Linked DNA regions of Callithrix jacchus. The protein of the gene in region 2 binds, or shares a complex with, the protein of the main gene of each other region. Links are inferred from orthologs where the notes say so. Each region holds a gene or a part of one and is shown on either strand. Other genes may lie near its edges.

Region 1 (5,121 bases), on a different chromosome or scaffold from region 2:
ACAATCAAAAAACCGCTAGCCACAACACTCCAAGAGTTATTTTAGTTCTAATATTTAACACGAAACAACGAAAAAAAAAAAAGATCGTCAGGAGAATTCAGATAGGAGTAACCAGGGTGTTGTAAGTCCCGATTACGCAGAGACGTTAATCACGTTTCATGCACCTCCAATCATCATGTTTTATCTGTCCTCCGAAGAGGAACAGGTAAGGATTATCCCACCTGACGATATCTTAATAAACGGCGGATATTCCGGACTCAGTGAAAGAGATTCCGTTAAAAGCTAGGGTGAGTATACAACGCGTCGGTACGAGCCACCTTGCTATTTAACATCCTTCCAATTGTATTGCTATATTTGCTTTCATCTCTTTTAAAATAATTTTTTTCATTCAGCTGAGAAAAGGAATAAATTATTTCTTCCCAGAATGCTCCAATCATTTACGTGCTGGACGTTCTAACTGTATGCACTTTTATTTACATATCCCCGCCCACTTCCTTCCCCCAGACGTCTACCGTAATAACCAAAATAGAAGCGATATCAAGTATCTTACGGTCTGCAGGACTAGAAAACAGCGTAGTTGTTTTTTTCTTCAATAGTTAAGCCATCCCAATTGTCCCCTGAAAACTATATAACTCTTGATCTTACTACAAAACATATTTTATTACAAAACACTAAATACAATGCTGATAATCCCATACATCCAACACATATCCTCTAGCAGAAGCAGTTTCCAAGGGGAAGACTGAAGCCTATGCCTTTCTTCTTCCAGGAATACGAAGCGGCCTCCCATGTAGCCTTCGACCATCAGGAAGGTGATCAGAAAGGTTTCTTTTTCAGCCCAAAGATGGCGATGAATAAAGCCATTTCAGTGACAGCTGGAAGGGCACTACCGAAGCAGGTGGTAGATTCAGAAATCCTTTCAATATAAATATGCAAATCTCCAAACTAGAGACCCCACCCCTGAAAGTATAGGGCAGGTGGCATGGGGATGGGGGATGAAAAAGACTACAGGATCTCATGCATGGAAGAAGGGACCGGGTGGGGGAAAACTTTCAGATTTAGGGTAAACCTTCCTCCCTCATCCCCAAATATTGGGTGTTACCACACCTGCAGAAGAAAAAAATGTACCAATACGTAGTGCACTCCCAACGCTCAAATATGAAGAAGGACAGGGCCACGGATGCACTACAGTGAGCCCCAATGGCTTGGGAAGGCACCACAGTTAAGGAAAGTCTTTGGATCGACAGATAGTGATGGATCAGAAAACATCAGTGGTGGGGTTGGCATCTGCACTCAGGTTCATCGCTTGCTCCCTCACCATATTGCAAGGGCTAGAGTCAGCAGCCCTGACTTCTGAATTGTAGGATGGTCATATGAGGAGAGACCAGAAGTAACTGCATAGATGGGACCTCAGGCTAGCCTACCCCACATCTAGAGGCCAGCTTGGACCCTTCAGATGAGAGGTAAGAGTAGGCTCTCCTACCATGCCACACAGGAGTGCTGACAGCGAATTGATATGCTCTGCTGGAATCAGCCTCCAGGGTTCTAGCACTCCTGGTTCACAGTTCTCTGACCCACGTGCTTCATTTCCTTTGCCATTTCTGAGTTCCCATTGTGCTTTCTACCTTTTGTTTGTTTGTTTGTTTGTTTGTTTGTTTGAGACAGAGTCTCACTTTGTCACCAGGCACCAGGCTGGAGTGCAGTGGCACAATCTCGGCTCACTGCAACCTCCGCCTCCCGGGTTCAAGCAATTCTCCTGCCTCAGCCTCCTGAGTAGCTGGGACTACAGGCACACGCCACCACGCCCAGCTAATTTTTGAATTTTTAGTAGAGACGGGGTTTCACCATGTTGGCCAGGATGGTCTCAATCTCTTGACCTCGTGATCCACCTGCCTCGGCCTCCCAAAGTGCTGGGATTACAGGCTTGAGCCACCGTGTCCCGCTTGTTTGTTTTTTGACGGAGTCTCACTCTGTTGCCCAGGCTAGAGTGCAGTGGCTCAACCTCGGCTCACTGCAACTTCTGCCTCCCAGGTTCAAGCAATTTTCCTGCCTCAGCCTCCTGAGTAGCTGGGGTTACAGGTGTGCCGTCACCACGCCCGGCTAATTTTTGTATTTTTAGTAGAGAATGGTGTTTCACCATGTTGGTCAGGCTGGTCTCAAACTCATGACTTCAAATGATCCACCTGTCCTGGCCTCCCAAAGTTGCTTGAAATAAAGGCGTGAGCCACCGCGCCCACCCCTCTTTACACACTCCTATAGCACCCTGCTTATCACTGAATTACAGATATGTGTCTGCCTCCTCCTCATGATAAACAAAAAAGGTGAAGTTCTCATTATTACTATTATTTTTGTAGACATAGGGTCTCACTATGATGCCTCAAGCAATCCTCCTGCCTGGGCCTCCCACACTGCTGGGAATACAGACATGAGTCAACGTGCCTGGCCGAAAACTGTTTTACTCTCATTTTGGGATTTTAAGTGCCTAGTAAACAGCAGGATTTAGCACATGTTTGAAGATATCCGAACTGGAGAGATTGGTTACAGCAGACACTATGGTGTCAGGTGGCTGAAGGGAGTCCTGATGGAAATGGTCGTGTGGGAAAGGTGAGCAGGAGGAAAGGATACAGATGAGGCTCTGGGTGCTGTTGAACATGGAGACTCCTAGAAGGAAACCGGCCAGCTCCACTGCAAAGAGGCCCAGAGTGACAGAGAGCGCGGCCACCAGCCTGCAGAAAGGAAGTGGACAGCCTCAGGCCCTTGGACTTCTAAGAACCCTCCACTCCCACCACCTCTCCGTTCTGACCAGCCCATTCCGAGAGAGCTCACTGAATGTCCTGCTTTTCATACTCCTCGGGGGTGAACCTGAGAGGCAGGCAGGCCTGGATGTTGCTGTCCTGGGAGCAGAGCAGAGAGGAAGAGAAGTGAAAAAGGGACGGGCGGCGAGGCAGGCCTGGGGGCGGCGGGGAACGAGAAGACCTAAGTGGGTAAGACACTGGGAGAGGGGCAAGATGGGGCTGGGACCACTCCGAGGTGGGAATAGGGGCGGACGGATGTCAGCCGTGGGTCTTACCCGGGACCAGAATAAGGTGATGACGACCACCAGATGCGCCAGGAGCGTCAGGAAGCGAGAAGGTACGAGCCCTGAGACCCGGCCCATGGCCCTTGGAAACAGGGGCGGCGGTCTCAGAGGCCGGAATTTCAAAGAGAGCGACTCCTGAAGTCTCCCTGCAAGCGGACAAAATCTAGACGAACGCCTCCTTCCCGCCCGCTCAGGCACCGCCCAGTTACCTTGGTAACTCCGTACGCGAACGCGGCGCCGCGTTCTCGAAAAACATCGCGAGAGCAGTATATTCTCAAGCTGCTGCTGGCCTCTTCCGGCTTGCGCAGGTCAGGGCTTCCCCGAATGCCATTCTAACCCAACGTTTGGGTATCCGCGCGTAGCCAAGCCCTTTGTTCCTGAGAGGGTGCGAGGTGGCACGGCCCCGCAGCGCCCGATCTACCCGCCCAGGACCGACGAACGGAAACCGACCTGGGCTAGCCTGGGGGCACCTCGGCTTCCGCAGTTGCCGGGAGCGGCCCCCAGCCCCTTCTACACCGACAATTGTGGATCTCCTGAGGCCGCGCCACCGCCATGCCGGGCTGAGGTCCGGGTCCCCGCCATGCCGAAGACTCAGACACGCTCCCCTTCCCCTCCTCCGTATGCCTTTAGCTTCCCACCAAGCTGGCCTCAGAAACAAGGGTCCCGAACTTGGAGAGGCGGTGTCCCTAGACTGCTCAGCAGTCACAGATTGTCACGGAGCCCCTGGATGTCTGAGGACCCCAGGCCTGAACTTTCCTTGAGGAAGACTGATTTCTCTCAGTCTAACTTTGCTCAGTTTGGTGAGGGATTTGCAGAGTGCAAAAAATGGCAGAGCAAGGGGACCGGAAAGGGTGGGAGTGGATGGAGGGAATGGACAGTCCCTGCATCCCTGGGAGGCTTGGAGCTGACTGGAACGGAAACTCAAATCAGATTTCTTTATCTCTTGGAGGTGCTGGGCCTCCGACATTACCCAGCTACAGTCCAAGAAGCTCTTATCATCGGCAACCTCATGACCTTTGGGTTTCAGCGCAGGTCCCCGCTGATCGGAAAGCTCTTTCTTCTCGCAATGCTGTCAAGTCCCATTCTCAAGGGTCCTCCCGGCTCATTTCCCCGGAGAACAACCGCTTCCTCTTCCTCACTCCCCGTCTCAGTGCCTTTAGCCAGTCTAAATATATGCCCAAGAGGCATTTCTCATTTCTTCAAATATTGTTTGTATTTACTGATTACCTAGTAGGTGGATTCTAGTCAGGGAGATCAATAATAGACATGCAAACAAATCCGCAAGATACTATATGCTATGAAAAGGGAAACGCTACAATTATAATTCTATAAAAAGAATGGGGCATTTGTTCTTAAACTTTATTTTAGAAAATTTGGCGCAGTAGCTCATGGCCGTAATCCCAGCACTTTAGGAGGCCAAGGCGGGCAGATCACCTGAGGTCAGGAGTTCTAGACCAGCCTGATCAACATGGTGAAAACCGGTCTCTACTAAAAATATAAAAATTAGCTGGGCATGATGGCGAGCACCTGTAATTCCAGCTACTCGGGAGGCTGAGGCAGGAGAATTTCTTGAATCCTGGAGGTGGAGGTTGCAGTGAGGCGAGATCGCGCCACTGCACTCCAGCCTGGGCGACAGAGCGAGACTCTGTCTCAAAAAAAAAAAAAAAAAAAGAACAGGCCGGGTGCAGTGGCTCACACCTGTAATCCCAGCACTTTGGAAGGCCAAGTCGGGAGGAGCACAAGGTCTGGAATTCGAGACTAGCTTGGGCAACATGGTGAACCCTCGTCTCTACTAAAGATACAAGGGGGGAAAAAATGGCCCGATGTGGTGGTGGCGCATCTGTAGTCCCAGCTACTCGTGAGGCCGAGGCAGGAGAATCGCTTGAGCCCGGGAGGCAGAGGTTGCAGTGAGCCGAGATCAGGCCACTGCACCCCAATCTGGGTGACAAAGCAAAACTCCGTCTCAAAAAAAAAAAAAAAAGATGATTCTCTGTTCCAAACGGAGGGAGATTACAGAGGAGTCTTCTACAACAATCCAGCAA
Region 2 (4,472 bases):
CAAGCGCCACCAAAGCGGGTGCTCCAGATGCGCTGTGGTTTTGCCGGGCGGTATGGGTCACCAGAGAAAGAGGACCAGGCGCAGAAGGCTTAATCCGGGGGATGAGACACAGGGCAGCCAACTGGGAGAGGGTGACCCAGAATGGGAAGAGTGTGAGGCTGAGGCACAGGCTGGGGAAGAGGGTCTGTCACGGTGGGGGCCTGGGAAGGGTGTCAGTGGGAGGAGGAACAACAGGACACCAGAGAAATGGAGGAGTCAGGAGGCAGACACCTGTAAGAATTGTTCTCCTTTACTGAACACCTCCCTTGTGCCAAGCAGCCTCTTGACCCAACATCCTGCGACCCTACACATTTACTGTCCCCAACTTACAGATACAGAAACTGGGTCCAGAGTGAGCCAGAGGTCCTTGAAAGGACAGAAGCAGAGCTATATCTTAGCTGGGGTCAGCTCTGATGGTCTCCAGAGTCCATGCTCTTGACCCCTGTGCCATCCTGCCCTTCACGGGGAATCCAGGAGTGCAGGTGATGGTGGCGGCGTTGGAGGCAGGGTCCCTCAGCACTCAACGCCGTAGCGGTCGAAGTGGCGCAGCAGCAGGCTGATCTCCAGGTGCACGGTGCCACCAGCAGCTGTGTGCAGGCGATAGCGGTCGGCACCACTGTAGATGGTGTCCCCATGCAGCAGCTGCGGCCCTCCACCCACAAAAGCCCGTGCCAGCTGTTCCCGCCAACTGCCAAGGGGCCGCCATGTGGGACAGGCCAGCTGGTGGGTGCCTGGGCTGCTGGGCACATGGCAAAATCCATAGCCTGCAAGCTGGCAGCGGCCAAAGCTGTCCTGGGACCACACCTGGAAATGGAGCCGGGGCCAGCCTGTAGGAAAGGAGGGAGAGGGGACAGAAGGGATGGGTGGGGACCAGCCTCCTGCCCCTGATTCCCTCCTCCTCAATGCCCACTGGGCACCCCAGGGCCAGTCCCTTCCTCTCTGGGTTTCTGTCCTAGGGTTTCCAACCCAGCCTCCTTTTTAGGCTCCCACCCTCTCATCTACCCTCACACAAAGGCCAAACAGATCTTTACAAATCGATGTTACTCACCCTGCTCAAGATCCTTCCATAGCTCCCCAGTGCCCTTGGTACAAAGCTCAAGCTTCTTGACATTCAAGACCCTTCTCATCAGGCCTCTGTTGACTTTCCTCTCTGTGGTCGCCTCCTCCGTGACCCCATGTTAGGGCAGCCCATTGCTCTTCCAGTCCCCAGGTCACCATCGTGGGCCTTGTCAGGGACGCCTCCTGCCTTCCCTCCCCAAGTCCCTGCCCTGTTCTCTTTGGGCCCAGGGCCTTGCCTTCTTTCTTGCCTTTCTCTCTCTCTTTTTTTTTTTTTTTTTTAAGTAGAGATAGGATTTCTCCATGTTGGCCAGGCTGGTTTCAAACTCCTGACCTCAGGTGATCTGCCCGCCTTGGCCTCCCAAAGTGTTGGGATTACAGGCGTGAGCCATGGTGCCCGGCCTTTCTTGCCCTTCTCTAATCCACCTTCCACCTGGCATATGAAAGCATCTTTCTTTTCTTCTTTTTTCTTTTTTTGAGATGGAGTCTTGTTCTGTAACCAGGCTGAAGTGCAATGGTGTGATCTTGGCTCACTGCAACCTCCAACTCCCCGGTTCAAGCAATTCTCCTGTCTCAGTCTCCCAAGTAGCTGGGATTACAGGTGTGCACCCGCACGCCAGCCAATTTTTGTATTTTTATAGAGATAGGGTTTCACCATGTTGGTCAGGATGGTCTCAATCTCTTGACTGCATGGTCCGCCCGCCTCGGCCTCCCAAAGTGCTGGGATTACAGGCACAAGCTACCACTCCTGGCCTCTGGAAGCATCTTTCTCTCCTTCCATAGCTCTGCCCATGTCCTCAGAACACAGTTCAGCTCCTCAGTCTGGTAGTCAAAGCTCTTGGAGATCCAGCCCCCATCTCATGTCATGCTGAGCCCCTTCCCCTGTGCTAGGCCCCGTTCTAGCTAGTAGGGGACATGGCGAACATGAACATGGATGGCAGACAAAAATTCCTGCCCCTGTGAAGCTGATATCCTAGACAACCAATGTAGTAAATAAGCAAATTCCAGGGGTAAATCAGTTGGTGGTAATTGGTGTAGAGAAAAACAGAGTTGGTTAGGGCGAGGGTGGGGATGCTGCCTTAGCAAGGAGCGGACCAAGGAAGCTTCACTAAGAAGGTGGCATTTGAGCAAATGCTAAAAGGAAGGGATGCAGGCTGGGAGTGATGGCTCACGCTTGTAATCCTAGCACTTTGGGAGACCGAGGCGGGTAGCTCATGAGGTCAGGAGTTCAAGACCAGCCTGACCAACATGATGAACGCCGTCTCTACTAAAAATACAAAAATCAGTCAGACGTGGTGGTGCGCGCCTGCAGTCCCAGCTACTCGGGAGGCTGAGGCCGGGGAATCACTTGAACCTGGGAGGCGGAGGTTGCACTGAGCCAAGATCACGCACCACTGCACTCCAGCCTGGGCAAGACTCCATCTCAAAAAAAAAGGAAGGAAGGGAGTAGGCCGTGTGGATATCTAGAGGAAGAGTGCTCCCAGCCAGAGGCAACAGCTTGTGTCAAGGCCCTGAAGGGGGAGTGTCTGGTGGGGATGGTATGGCTGGAGCCCCGATGGAATGCAGCTGGTGGGGACAGCACAGCCAGAGCAGAACGAGGTGGGGAGAAGGGATGGAGGTGCCAGCCAGGCTGTTCAGAGCCTTGGGATGCATGGTAAGACTTTGGCTTTTTTTTTCTTCTTTTTAAATTTTATTTATTTATTTTTTATTGAGACAGGGTTTCACCATGTTGCACAGGCTGGTCTTGATCTCCTGACCTCTGGTGATCCACCGGCTCCAGCCTCCCAAAATGCTGGAACTAAAGGCATTAGCTGCCACACCCGGCCGACTTTGGCTTTTACCCTGAGTGAAAGGGGGACTAGGGGATGGTCTGAGCAGAGATGGGACCTGACTTACGTGTTCACAGGGTCCCAGCTGCATGTGGGGTGCAGACGAGGGGGTTAGAGAAGGGGGCCCCGAGGCGAGGTTGCTGTCATAGCCCAGGTGAGAGATGAACTTGGACAGATCAAGGTGCAGGGCAAGAAAAGAGGTGAGAAGTGGGATGTAAGATGTATTTCAAGAGTAGAGGCAGTAAGATTTCCTGATGGAGGCTTGAGTAAAGAGAAAGCAAGGCTGGTGCCACCACTGGGGGAGTAGGGTCCCCAAGAGATGAAAGGTTAGAGCTTCCCACCTCACCCACACAGCACCCAGAAAGATTTTTTTTTTCCCCAGCTCCAGCTTAAAGGACAGAAAGATTATTTAAAAGTGAAATCTCAGGCCAGGCTCAGTGGCTCACACCTGTAATCCCAGCACTTTGGGAGGCCAAGGTGGGTAGATCACGAGGTCAAGAGTTTGAGAGCAGCCTGGCCAACATAGTGAAACCCCAACTCTATAAATAAATAAATAAATAAATAATTTTTTTTTTTTTTAAAAAGGTGAAATCTCGGCCAGGCCCAGTGGCTCACGCCTATAATCCCAGCACTTTGAAAGGCTGAGGCAGGTGGATCACCTGAGGTTGGGAGTTTGAGACCAGCCTGACCAACATGGAGAAAGCCCGACTCTTCTAAAAATACAAAATTAGCTGGGAGTGGTGGCACATGCCTGTGATCCCAGCTACTGGGGAGGCTAAGGCAGGAGAATCACTTGAACCTGAGAGGTAGAGGTTGCAGTGGGCCGAGAGCACTCCAGTCTGGGCAACAAAAGTCAAACTGCATCTCAAAGACAAAAAGTGAAATCTTGGGGCCGAGCGCGGTAGTTCACGTCTGTAATCCCAGCACTTTGGGAGGCCGAGGCGGGTGGATCACGAGGTCGAGAGATCGAGACCAACCTGGTCAACATGGTGAAACCCCGTCTCTACTAAAATACAAAAAATTAGCTGGGCATGGTGGCGCGTGCCTGTAATCCCAGCTACTCGGGAGGCTGAGGCAGGAGAATTGCCTGAACCCAGGAGGCGGAGGTTGCGGTGAGCCGAGATCGCGCCATTGCACTCCAGCCTGGGTAACAAAAGCGAAACTCCGTCTCAAAAAAAAAAAAAAAAAAAAAAAAATTAGCTGGGCATGGTGGCGCGTGCCTGTAATCCCAGCTACTCGGGAGGCTGAGGCAGGAGAATTTCCTGAACCCAGAAGGTGGAGGTTGCGGTGAGCCGAGATCGTGCCATTGCACTCCAGTCTGGGTAACAACAGTGAAACTCCGTCTCAAAAAAAAAAAAAAAAAAAAAAGGTGAAATCTTAGCCAGGCATGGTGGCTCATGCCTGTAATCCCAGCACTTTGGAAAGCCGAGGCAGGCAGATCACCTGAGGTCAGGAGTTTCAGACCAGCCTGACCACTATGGTGAAACCCCATATCTACTAAAAAAAAAAATGCAAAAATTAGCCAGGTGACACACAGCTGTAGTCCCA
Region 3 (5,018 bases), on a different chromosome or scaffold from region 2:
CAGGCTGCTTCTCTGCCTATGGAGTAGCCATTATTTATTCCTTTACTTTCCTAATAAACTTGCTTTTGCTTTACTCTATGGTTGCACCTCCAATTTTCTCTTGGCCAGATCCAAGAACCCTCTTCTCCAGGGGTCTGGATCAGACCCCTTTCCAGAAACTATCTCATGTTAAATTGTGAATTAAAAACACTGAATATGAAGACTATTTAATTCAAATTACTGAGTAAACACTTATAAAATTAAAACATGATAATATTTAATAAAAATAGCATGATTGATGAACAAGCAATTTACAAATACTCGTTTCCCAGAATGTATGAGGAGGTAGTAAGAAGTTAAGAATATGTCCTCCAGCCAGAGAGATCTGTGTTCAATCACGTTATTTAAGTTAGACTACTCAGTTTCTTAGACGGAAAATGAGGACAATGTAAGCACCTATTTTACTGCATTGTAATGAAGAATAAACAAGATTATGAATAGTATTTGGCTATAATCTTTCCGAAAAGTAGTAAAATTGTTCCTATAAATCTGTCTTTAAAATTTATCTCACGAAACCAGTAATTTTTTACTTTGTGCTGAGTTACTTATTTTACTCAAATTGGTGGTTTAAAAAGAAACTCATTACTTATTTTCAAAAGGAAAATTTAGTCAAGTATAGTATTTTTTTTTTTAAGCAGCGTTTAAAATAAAGGTATAGTCCAGATCGTTGGAAATGTCATTTAGATTTAAGTCTACAGCTTCTTAGGAAAGTTAGCTAGAAGTGTATCATACTCCAGCATGGCTGTGAGCAGAGGAATGAGCAAAACTTGCACGAGCAAGAGTGGAAAACACCAGAGAAGGCGCTTTCATGGACGGGCACCCTAGGTAACCAAGCAAGTGAAAACAGTACAGGTGAGTCCTTGGCTCCCTTCTCTCTCCACCCCGGCAGTGGCCCGGACAAGTACTAACCTCTCCACTCTGGAGCCTTCACTTCATACTAGCTCCACAACCTTCAAGCCCCACCATCCACCAAGGGAACTGTACTACAGGTAAGGCAGGCGGGGTCAGAAGATGCCATAATCTCTTGTTAACTCTTCGCTCGCCCCTAAACAGGATCACAGCGGCGTGGCTCTCACTCTAACTACCAAGACAGATTCTGATACCAAACAAGGTTAAAACTTTTTTTCCCCCTTCTTATAGAAGGCTCTGGACGCCGCTTGCAAACGGCTGAAGAGAAGGCGGAGAGTTCCCACTTTTTCAGAATGGGGCCAGGCCCTACGGCCCCAATAGCAGATGCTTCTCTAACCCGGGACTGCTCCCCTCAACTCCTCCCTTTCCGCGGACCGACAGCTCGACTATACCTGGGAGGGGTTCCGCCAGGGGATGGCTTAGGAAAACCTCAGGAAGAGCGGCCCAGCGACTGACGCCACTGAAGCCACAGTCATGGTCTACCTCGTTCAGGCCACCAGCTTCTAAGCGCCTCAGCCGCTGGGCCTCCCGCCTCCCGGTCCTTCTCCGCCGCCCGGGTACCGTCGCAGCCTTACGCATTGCATGCCGGGAGCGCCTTACCTCCTCTCAGAGACTTCAGTTCCCAGCTTGCACAAGCCTCAGGCAGAACTGCAGTCTGGGATTTGCAGTCCTCGTTCCATGCCTTCTCAGCGACCTGAACACCGACTCCTGGGACTCCGACGGAGAATCTAAACGTAAAGTATCACTCATGGTCGTGAACTGTAGGCTCTCCTTGCATCCGGGGCCTTATTCTGGCCTTGGCGGAGTAGGGGTTGGTGTCGCCTAGCAGCAGCTGCCGCTTTGGCTTACTTGGGAACCTTTGGCGGGACACAGAGTCCGCGTGGAACTGCGATAGGGATCTCTGTCAGGGTCTGCGGCCGGGTCCAGCCTGGTGGTTGCGATAGTGAGGGACCTCCGCTGGTTGTCAGGCTTGGTCTAGGTGGGTGGATCCTTGTAAGCAGGGGCAGCGAGTCGCTCCAAGCTCAGGTTCTTTAGCCTCCGGGCCCCTGTGCCACAGCGTAGCTACCCCGCCCCTTCCAGTCTCGGGTCCACAATCCTTCTGCCTTGCTTCGGTTCCTGTGTCTCCCGTACAACTTAACTCATTGCAATTGTTAATGTTCGCATTTTTTTTAGCCCCAATTCTGCTTCTCCGTTGTCAGGCTTCCACAGACCCTTGCCCTTGGCACGATTAGGGTGTTCGAGCGCGTTGAGGGTAGGGAGTGTGGAGGAGGGGATCCAGAATTTTAGTCCTAACTTAGATTAGTTTTAGCAAGGAAGCCGTCACATTTTATTTAGCCGGTAAACTCTCTGACAGTTGGTGCCGACTGCTATAATTTTGACCAAGGCTATTTTGCCCACTTGTCTGTGTTGAGGCTAAGGCATAGCTCTTTGCTAACATCAGAAAGTTGTAATGACATAATCTGCAAAAAATGTAAACTACTAGAACACCAAAAATGCTGTGTACCTTGAAAATGCTAATTTCCACCTGTTTTGTTACAGAGGTGGAGCAAAGTGAAAGAATTCAAGATGCCACCTAATATAAACTGGAAAGAAATAATGAAAGTTGATCCAGATGATTTGCCCCGTCAAGAAGAACTGGCAGATAATTTATTGATTTCCTTATCTAAGGTGTATAATTGATCAATAATAATATATATATATTAACTTATGATTAGTTTATTAATCAAGTATTTTTTGCTGTGACAACTGTAGCCACAATCTGGAAGAGCTCGTATATTTTGTTATAAAATATAAAACATTTGCTTTTCTGTTTATTTAGGTGGAAGTAAATGAGCTAAACAATGAAAAACAAGAAAATGTGATACACCTTTTCAGAATTACTCAGTCACTAATGAAGGTTTGTATATAGTCGGTTTTGATGGTAGGTTTGGCTATTAGAGGAACCATAAAAATCTTTTCTTCTATAAGGTAATCTTTGTGAAAATACTTGATAATATCTACATCACCATTCAAAAATGCAATATATTTAAATGTGGCTTAAGAATTGTAGTGTGTAAAACGTTGCTAGTTTTTACTTAAAGTTTCTAAAAGGGTGTGTAGGGGAAACAGAATGAGTATATTGAAAAATTATATAGGGAGATATATCCTGAGGTCCAAATGACAAATGCAGACAATGGCTGTCTATAGGGATTTGTTAAGAGGGGAAGTGATTTAAGAGGTGTTGGAAAACTTTGCAAAGGATGAAGACTGAGGAGTAGTTTTAGTTAAGTGGAAGGCAATGCAGTGGTAAGATAGTAAGGGAATTCTAGAGCTGTTGGTTACCATAAGTAAATATTGAGAATAGGAAATATGCATATTCTTTACGTTTGAGAAGACAAGGTGCAGCAAGTTTGTAGCAGGCTGTAGAGAAAACAAATCTTGGGTAGGTACTTTGATAGAGACTGTTGAGGGCCTTAAAGATATAGTTTATGCTACCAGCAATTGAGAAGGCAATAAAGGTTTCTGAACCACAGTTGATAGGTACAAAAATATGCCTTAGGAAGGCAAAACAATATATAATATATGACAAATAGAAGGATTACTGGAGCTATATAGACATCACATTATAGAGGAGTTTAAACATGAAATTATGTGTTAGAATAATAACAATTGGAACAGAAAAAAAGTAGTGAAAAAAATTACAAAGGGAGATGTTGTATTACTGGATGTAAGACTTAAGACTTGAGGTAAAAGGGAGAATCAAAAATATTTCATGCTATTAAAAATAGAAATTATAATCTTAAGTAAGAAAGTAAGAAAGTTGCCTGGATTACTGCCTCACGTCCGTAATCCCAGCACTTTGGGTTGCTAAGGCAGGAGAATTGCTTGAGCCTAGGAGTTTGAGACTGGCCTGCATAATACGGCGAATAATACAGTGAGACTTTGTCTCTACGAAAAAATTTAAAGTCTTGCTGATCATGGTGGTATGCACCTGTAGTCCCAGCTACTCAGGAGACTGAAGTGGGAAGTTTGCTTGAGCCTAGGAGGCAGAGGTTGCAGTGAGCTGAGATTGTGTCGCTGCACTCCAGCCTGGGTGACAAAGTGAGGCCCTGTCTCAAAAAAAAAAAAAAAAAAAAAGAAAGAAAAATTATGTATTTATTTAACAAATATTTACTGAAAATCGCCATGTGCCCCCCATTGCTGACACTAAGAATCATAATAAATACAATTTTTGTTTTCAGTGCTTACATTCTAGTACAAAGGCATATTGAAATAACCTTTTTTTAATGTTTAGATGAAAGCTCAAGAAGTAGAGCTGGCTTTGGAAGAAGTAGAAAAAGCTGGAGAAGAACAAGCAAAATTTGGTAAGCAACTTGGAAAAAAGTTTATGGTATTAAATAATAAATTCCATGTGTTCATTAAGCTGTAGAAAATCAAATTTATTCTATAAGATGTATATAGTTTATTTTTAATATATAACATTTACTTAATAATAAGCAATTCTAGACTCCTATTTTATGGATCTGCCATATAATTCTTTTTGATACCTTATAGTCATGATGGAGTCTTTTAAAAGAATTAATTTTGTTATTTAAATTTATTTAAAAGTTTGTTTTGTGGTAGCTAATGTATGAAAACATTTGTCTTTTTTTTTAAAAAACAGAAAATCAATTAAAAACTAAAGTAATGAAACTGGAAAATGAACTGGAGGTATGTCTTTTTGTATTTCCTAGAATGTAATTGTCATAAATTTTATTTTGCATTGTTTTCAAATTTTAAAATTATTATTGGCTGGAAAAGTTATAAGGATGATAGTAATCATGGTTATTTGCTTTTTCAGTATATATTCTCGGATTGAGCATACAGTTGTGAATGAAATTAAAACAGTTAACTGCTATATGGAGCTTGCAGTCTTGGGAAATACATAGAAAGCTTACTAGTAACTGAGGTGGAGCGTGGGTGGGGAGTTGGGGAATAATGACCAAAGGGTTTTATAGAAGTAATTTTTTACAAAGCTGAGGGCTAAAGTATGAATGTATTGTTGAGGAACTAAATTCAGATTCCTGAAAAGGTAGGGATGGATCAGCTTT
Region 4 (4,935 bases), on a different chromosome or scaffold from region 2:
ACTTTGGGAGGCCTAGGTGGGTGGATCACGAGGTGATGAGATCAAGACTATCCTGGCCAACATGGTGAAACCCTGTCTCTACTAAAAATAACACCACTCTGGCCAATATAGTGAAACCTTGTCTCTACTAAAAATACAAAAATTAGTTGTGCATGGTGGTGCACGCCTGTAATCACAGCTAGTCCGGAAGCTGAGGCAAGAGAATCACTTGAACCTGGGAGACAGAGGTTGCAGTGAGCCGAGACTGGGCCACTGCATCCAGCCTGGCAACAAAGCAAGACTCCCTCTCAAAACAAAAGAAAGAAATAGGGGCCGGGTGCGGTGGCTCACACCTGTAATCCCAGCACTTTGGGAGGCCGAGGTGGGTGGATCACGAGGTCAAGAGATCGAGACCATCCTGGTCAACATGGTGAAACCCCATATCTACTAAAAATGCAAAAAATTAGCTGGGCATGGTGGCGCATGCCTGTAATCCCAGCTACTCAGGAGGCTGAGGCAGGAGAATTGCCTGAACCCAGGAGGCAGAGGTTGCGGTGAGCCGAGATCACGCCATTGCACTCCAGCCTGGGTAACAAGAGTGAAACACCGTCTCAAATAAATAAATAAATTAATTAATTAAAATAAAATAAAAAAAAGAAATATACAGTATAGTAAAAACATATAGGTCAACACTGAGAGCAAACAAATATGAATGTTTCCAGTTCCCAATCTGGGCTTCAATGTCTTTATCTGTAAAATGAGAAGAAAACTCATTTTCTTAATTACTTTCCTTATTAGGGAAGTTGCCTTCATTCAAATAAATCACTGTTTCTCTCTGTTAAGATAGATAGTAAACATAGTAAGATAATCACTATTCAATTTGCAGTATAGATAAGGACAGCATTCTCTAAGGAGTCATTAGGTAGAAGCAGCACTCATAGGAGTCTATGTAGTATAATACATACCATATCTGGATTCATAGATATGGAACTATACCTTTCCATATTCATAAATATGAAAAAATATCTTACATTTTAACTTCTGAAATGCTTTCTCATTCATATTGCCATACATGTGTAGCCTGACCTGTTCGAGAACTTAAATGAGGATATGTCAAAGCTGAACATGCCAGAAAGTTAATAACATGGGTGACCAAATTGAGATAGAAAACATCTTAACATCTTTGCCGGGTGCGGTGGCTCAAGCCTGTAATCCCAGCACTTTAGGAGGGCAAGGCCGGTGGATCACGAGGTCAAGAGATCAAGATCATCCTGGTCAACAAGGTGAAACCCCGTCTCTACTAAAAATACAAAAAATTAGCTGGGCATGGTGGCACGTGCCTGTAATTCCCGCTATTCAGGAGGCTGAGGCAGGAGAATTGCCTGAACCCAGGAGGCGGAGGTTGCGGTGAGCTGAGATCATGCCATTGCACTCCAGCCTGGGTAACAAGAGCAAAACTCCGTCTCAAAAAAGAAAAGAAAAGAAAACATCTTAGACTTTAGAATATGGGAAAAGACATTCTGAGCAGTTTCAGTGAGAACTAGGAACAAATGATGTTTTAGGTATAAAAAATAGATTTAATCTAAAGAGACCTTAAGAATAATGAGTAATATTCTATGATAAAAAGGACAAGTCCTAAGGAAATCTGTATTAGAGGCATACAGCATAGTATGGGTCAGGCTCAGTGGCTCACTCTTTTAATCCCAGCACTTTGGGAGGCCAAGGTGGATGATCATTTGAACTCACAAGTTTGAGACCAGCCTCAACATGGCAAAAACCCCATCTCTACAAAAAAACTGGTGAGGTCCTGTAATCCCAGCTATTTGGGAGGTTGAGGTGGGAGGAGGATGGCTTGAGGCCAGGAGGTAGAGGCTGCTGTGAGCCAAGATTGAGCCAGGGCACTCTACCTGGGTGACAGAGCCAGACTTTGTCAGAGAAGAAACTAAAATAAAAGAAAATAAAGAGAAATGAAAGAAAGACAAAGAAAGAAAAGAAAGAGAGAGAGAGAGGGAGGGAGGGAGGAAGGGAGGGTATGGTGAAAACACACAGGCAGAGAGAGAGAGAGATGAGAGAGAGAGAGAGAGAGAGAGAGAAAGAAACAAACAGTATAGTGAAAACACACAGGCCAAGACTGAGAAAGGAAAGGAAGGAGGGAGGGAGGAATCGTGAAAACACATAGGTCAAGACTGAGAGCAGGGATATTTATTCTTTCAGTCCCCATCTGGGCCTGAATGTCCTTATCCGTAAAATGAGAAGACTGGATCTGATTATGATTAAGGTCCTTTCCAGTTCTAAACGTCTGGGATTTGAAAAGAAAAATGTAGGGCTGACCGGGTGCAGTGGCTCATGCCTGTAATCCTAGCACTTTGGGATGGGCAGATCACAAGGGCAGGAGTTTGAGACCAGCATGACCAACATGGTGAAATCCTGTCTCTAATAAAATAAAATAATAAAATAAAAAATTAGCCGGGCGTGATGGCGGACGCCTGTATATACATACATACATACATACTACTCAGGAGGTTGAGGCAAGAAAATCGCTTGAACCCGGGAGGTGGAAGTGGCAGTGAGCCGATATCGCACTATTGCACTCCAGCCTGGGTGACACAGCGAGACTCCGTCCAAAAAAAAAAAAGAAACAAAGAAAGGAAAAAAATGATGTAGGGCTATTGAGGTTCACAAGTGCTAGTTTGTTCTTCCTCCCTAATCTTTCCTGTCACCTGCTCCCGTTTACCTCAGATTACTTCTCTACTAGTTCTTCTCTATCTTCGGTAAACAGCATTCCGGGTGTCGCCCTGAAGACCCCCGTATGAGGAGTCGGGGACTGGCACCGAGAAACGAACTACAGGCAACGGTTCATTGGGTAGCCGACTCAGAATCTCCCACTTCATTCGTGTGCAAACTGCAATCCTTCCAGAAAACCCTCTTCTGAGACTTCCGCGGTTAACTTTTCTGATACATTTCTACTGCAGACGAAAAGGTGTTTGAATGACTCCAGAGACTAGGGGCAGACCAAGGCGGAAGTGTTACTTTTGCCAGGGCCCACTTCAAGCCGTCTTACCTCGGGCATCCTGCCTCTGGTTAGCTCCACACGGAACACAGGAGAGCGCGGAGATATCAAAGTACTGGTTGTTATCGCAATTTTCCGGCTGCTGGAAAGGGAGAGAGAAGGTCTGGGCCTGTAAGATGCGAGGGAGTAACAACAGAAGGAACGCAGTCACGGCTCGGGCAGATAAAAGGGACCAAGCCGCCATTGCCACCCCAACCCCACCGCGCGTAGCCATGGTACCGACGCTAGCAGCCGCCCAGGCTCCAGCGTCCCATCAGCCTCTGCGGTAACTCCGCTAAGCTGATTGGATAACCCAAGTTTGGGTACCGGAAGTCTCTGCTGGTGCTGCTTGGTTGCTAGGTTACCAATCCTGACGGAAGTTGACAAGTCCAGTAAAGAATGGGTTAAAGGCCGGCTAAAGCCCAACGGTATTTTTGAACTTGTGCAGAGCTCCTCGACTTACGACAGGGTTACCGCCTCCCCGCAATAAATCCATCATAAATTGAAAATATCATAATTTATTGAATTATATTTACATCAGAATTTATTCAGACTAGGTGATTTTAACCTTAAAGGAAACTTGTTTAACAATTTGACAGTCCGTCAAAAAAAAAAAAATAATAACAAAAAATAACAACACACTGACTTAAAACCCAGTGAAGGATTACTATAGAGAAAAGATTGAAAATTTTTAAAAAAATCTTTCCTGCCAGGTTTGAGCACAGGAAATCATGTATGTGAGACAAAGTACGAAGCGGAAGAAAACTGTTTACTCATTCTGTTGCCAGCGGAATTTCACAAAGCCCTTGACTCAGTGACTGAACGAAGTCCTCCAGAAGAATGCCCTACAGACAATAAGTAGAATAGAGCACAGGTTTCCACATCTGTTGCTTGAATCACTTCATTTTTTTAAAAAAGATACGTTCAGTGATCCTGGCCCTTGCCTCTTCCTGTACATAAGATAACGACTGACAGGATTAATGATTTTGATTATGTCTCTGTAATCTATAACCAGATGTACTCTCCAACCAAAACTTTGATGAGATTTTGCTCCAATGTAACTTCTGAGCATGTTTAATGTAACTTTTGAGCGCATCCAGAACTCCACCCCTTGATATAAAAACTGTGGGCAGAAACGCTGCTCTGGAGCAGTCTAACATAAACTCTTTGAAAGACTCTCCAGGGTGGCATTCCTCAGTAAGACTCTGAAAAAAACTAACTTTGAGTCTTTAAAAGCCTTATTTTTTCTTTAGTTGACTTGTATATAAATTGAAATAATCTTTACATCTCTTGTGAATAAAATAATCTAAGCCTGGTGCTGTGGCTCATGCCCCTAATACTAACATTTGGGAGTCCACTGTGGAAGGATTGTCTGAGTCCAGGAATTCAAGACCAACCTGGGCAACATAGTGAGATTCCATCTCTGCAAATGCAATTTATTTTAATTAGCTGGTTGGGTGGCACATGGCTACGGTCCCAGCTACTTGGCTGGCTGAGGCGGGAGAACCATTTAAGCTCAGGAGGTCAAGGCTGCAATGAGCTGTGATTGTGCCACTGTACTCCAGCATGGATGTCAAAGAGAGACACAGTCACACGCAAAAAAGAAAAATCCTGGACAAATATATGGAAACTGTTAGAAGTAGAGACCATTTGTAAGGCAAAGATGGAAATCTAGAGTCTAAATTGGAGCAATGGAGGAAGAGAGAGGCAGGAGAGGATGAATAAAGGAACTATTCAGGAGAAAGCATAAGAATTTTATGATTTTGGCCCGGCACGGCGGCTCAATCCTGTAATCCCAGCACTCTGGGATTGGACTCACGAGGTCAAGAGATGGGCCTTGCACTCACGAGGTCAAGAGATCGAGACCATCATGGTCAACATGGTGAAACCCCATATCTACTAAAAAT

Evidence for each region. Proteins that work in one complex are often made in the same cells at the same time.
Region 1: B9D2 (region 2) and TMEM107 share a complex: the UniProt entries of both Homo sapiens proteins name them as parts of the tectonic-like complex. The link is inferred for Callithrix jacchus from reciprocal best matches to the Homo sapiens genes B9D2 and TMEM107.
Region 3: B9D2 (region 2) and CEP290 share a complex: the UniProt entries of both Homo sapiens proteins name them as parts of the tectonic-like complex. The link is inferred for Callithrix jacchus from reciprocal best matches to the Homo sapiens genes B9D2 and CEP290.
Region 4: B9D2 (region 2) and TMEM67 share a complex: the UniProt entries of both Homo sapiens proteins name them as parts of the tectonic-like complex. The link is inferred for Callithrix jacchus from reciprocal best matches to the Homo sapiens genes B9D2 and TMEM67.

What each region holds. Positions count from the first base shown.
Region 1 is NC_133506.1:74,652,256-74,657,376, forward strand, and holds TMEM107 (transmembrane protein 107), read right to left. Parts: upstream 3,283-5,121; 5' UTR 3,158-3,282; coding exon 3,071-3,157; intron 2,895-3,070; coding exon 2,827-2,894; intron 2,727-2,826; coding exon 2,626-2,726; intron 1,205-2,625; coding exon 1,108-1,204; intron 887-1,107; coding exon 817-886; 3' UTR 642-816; downstream 1-641. UniProt on the Homo sapiens protein: Plays a role in cilia formation and embryonic patterning. Requires for normal Sonic hedgehog (Shh) signaling in the neural tube and acts in combination with GLI2 and GLI3 to pattern ventral and intermediate neuronal cell types.
Region 2 is NC_133523.1:36,633,784-36,638,255, forward strand, and holds the end of B9D2 (B9 domain-containing protein 2), read right to left. Parts: intron 867-4,472; coding exon 553-866; 3' UTR 272-552; downstream 1-271. UniProt on the Homo sapiens protein: Component of the tectonic-like complex, a complex localized at the transition zone of primary cilia and acting as a barrier that prevents diffusion of transmembrane proteins between the cilia and plasma membranes.
Region 3 is NC_133510.1:93,048,808-93,053,825, forward strand, and holds the start of CEP290 (centrosomal protein of 290 kDa), read left to right. Parts: upstream 1-1,736; 5' UTR 1,737-1,927; intron 1,928-2,487; 5' UTR 2,488-2,514; coding exon 2,515-2,616; intron 2,617-2,767; coding exon 2,768-2,845; intron 2,846-4,222; coding exon 4,223-4,292; intron 4,293-4,591; coding exon 4,592-4,638; intron 4,639-5,018. UniProt on the Homo sapiens protein: Involved in early and late steps in cilia formation. Its association with CCP110 is required for inhibition of primary cilia formation by CCP110.
Region 4 is NC_133517.1:33,426,587-33,431,521, forward strand, and holds the start of TMEM67 (meckelin), read right to left. Parts: upstream 3,283-4,935; 5' UTR 3,264-3,282; coding exon 3,041-3,263; intron 1-3,040. UniProt on the Homo sapiens protein: Required for ciliary structure and function. Part of the tectonic-like complex which is required for tissue-specific ciliogenesis and may regulate ciliary membrane composition.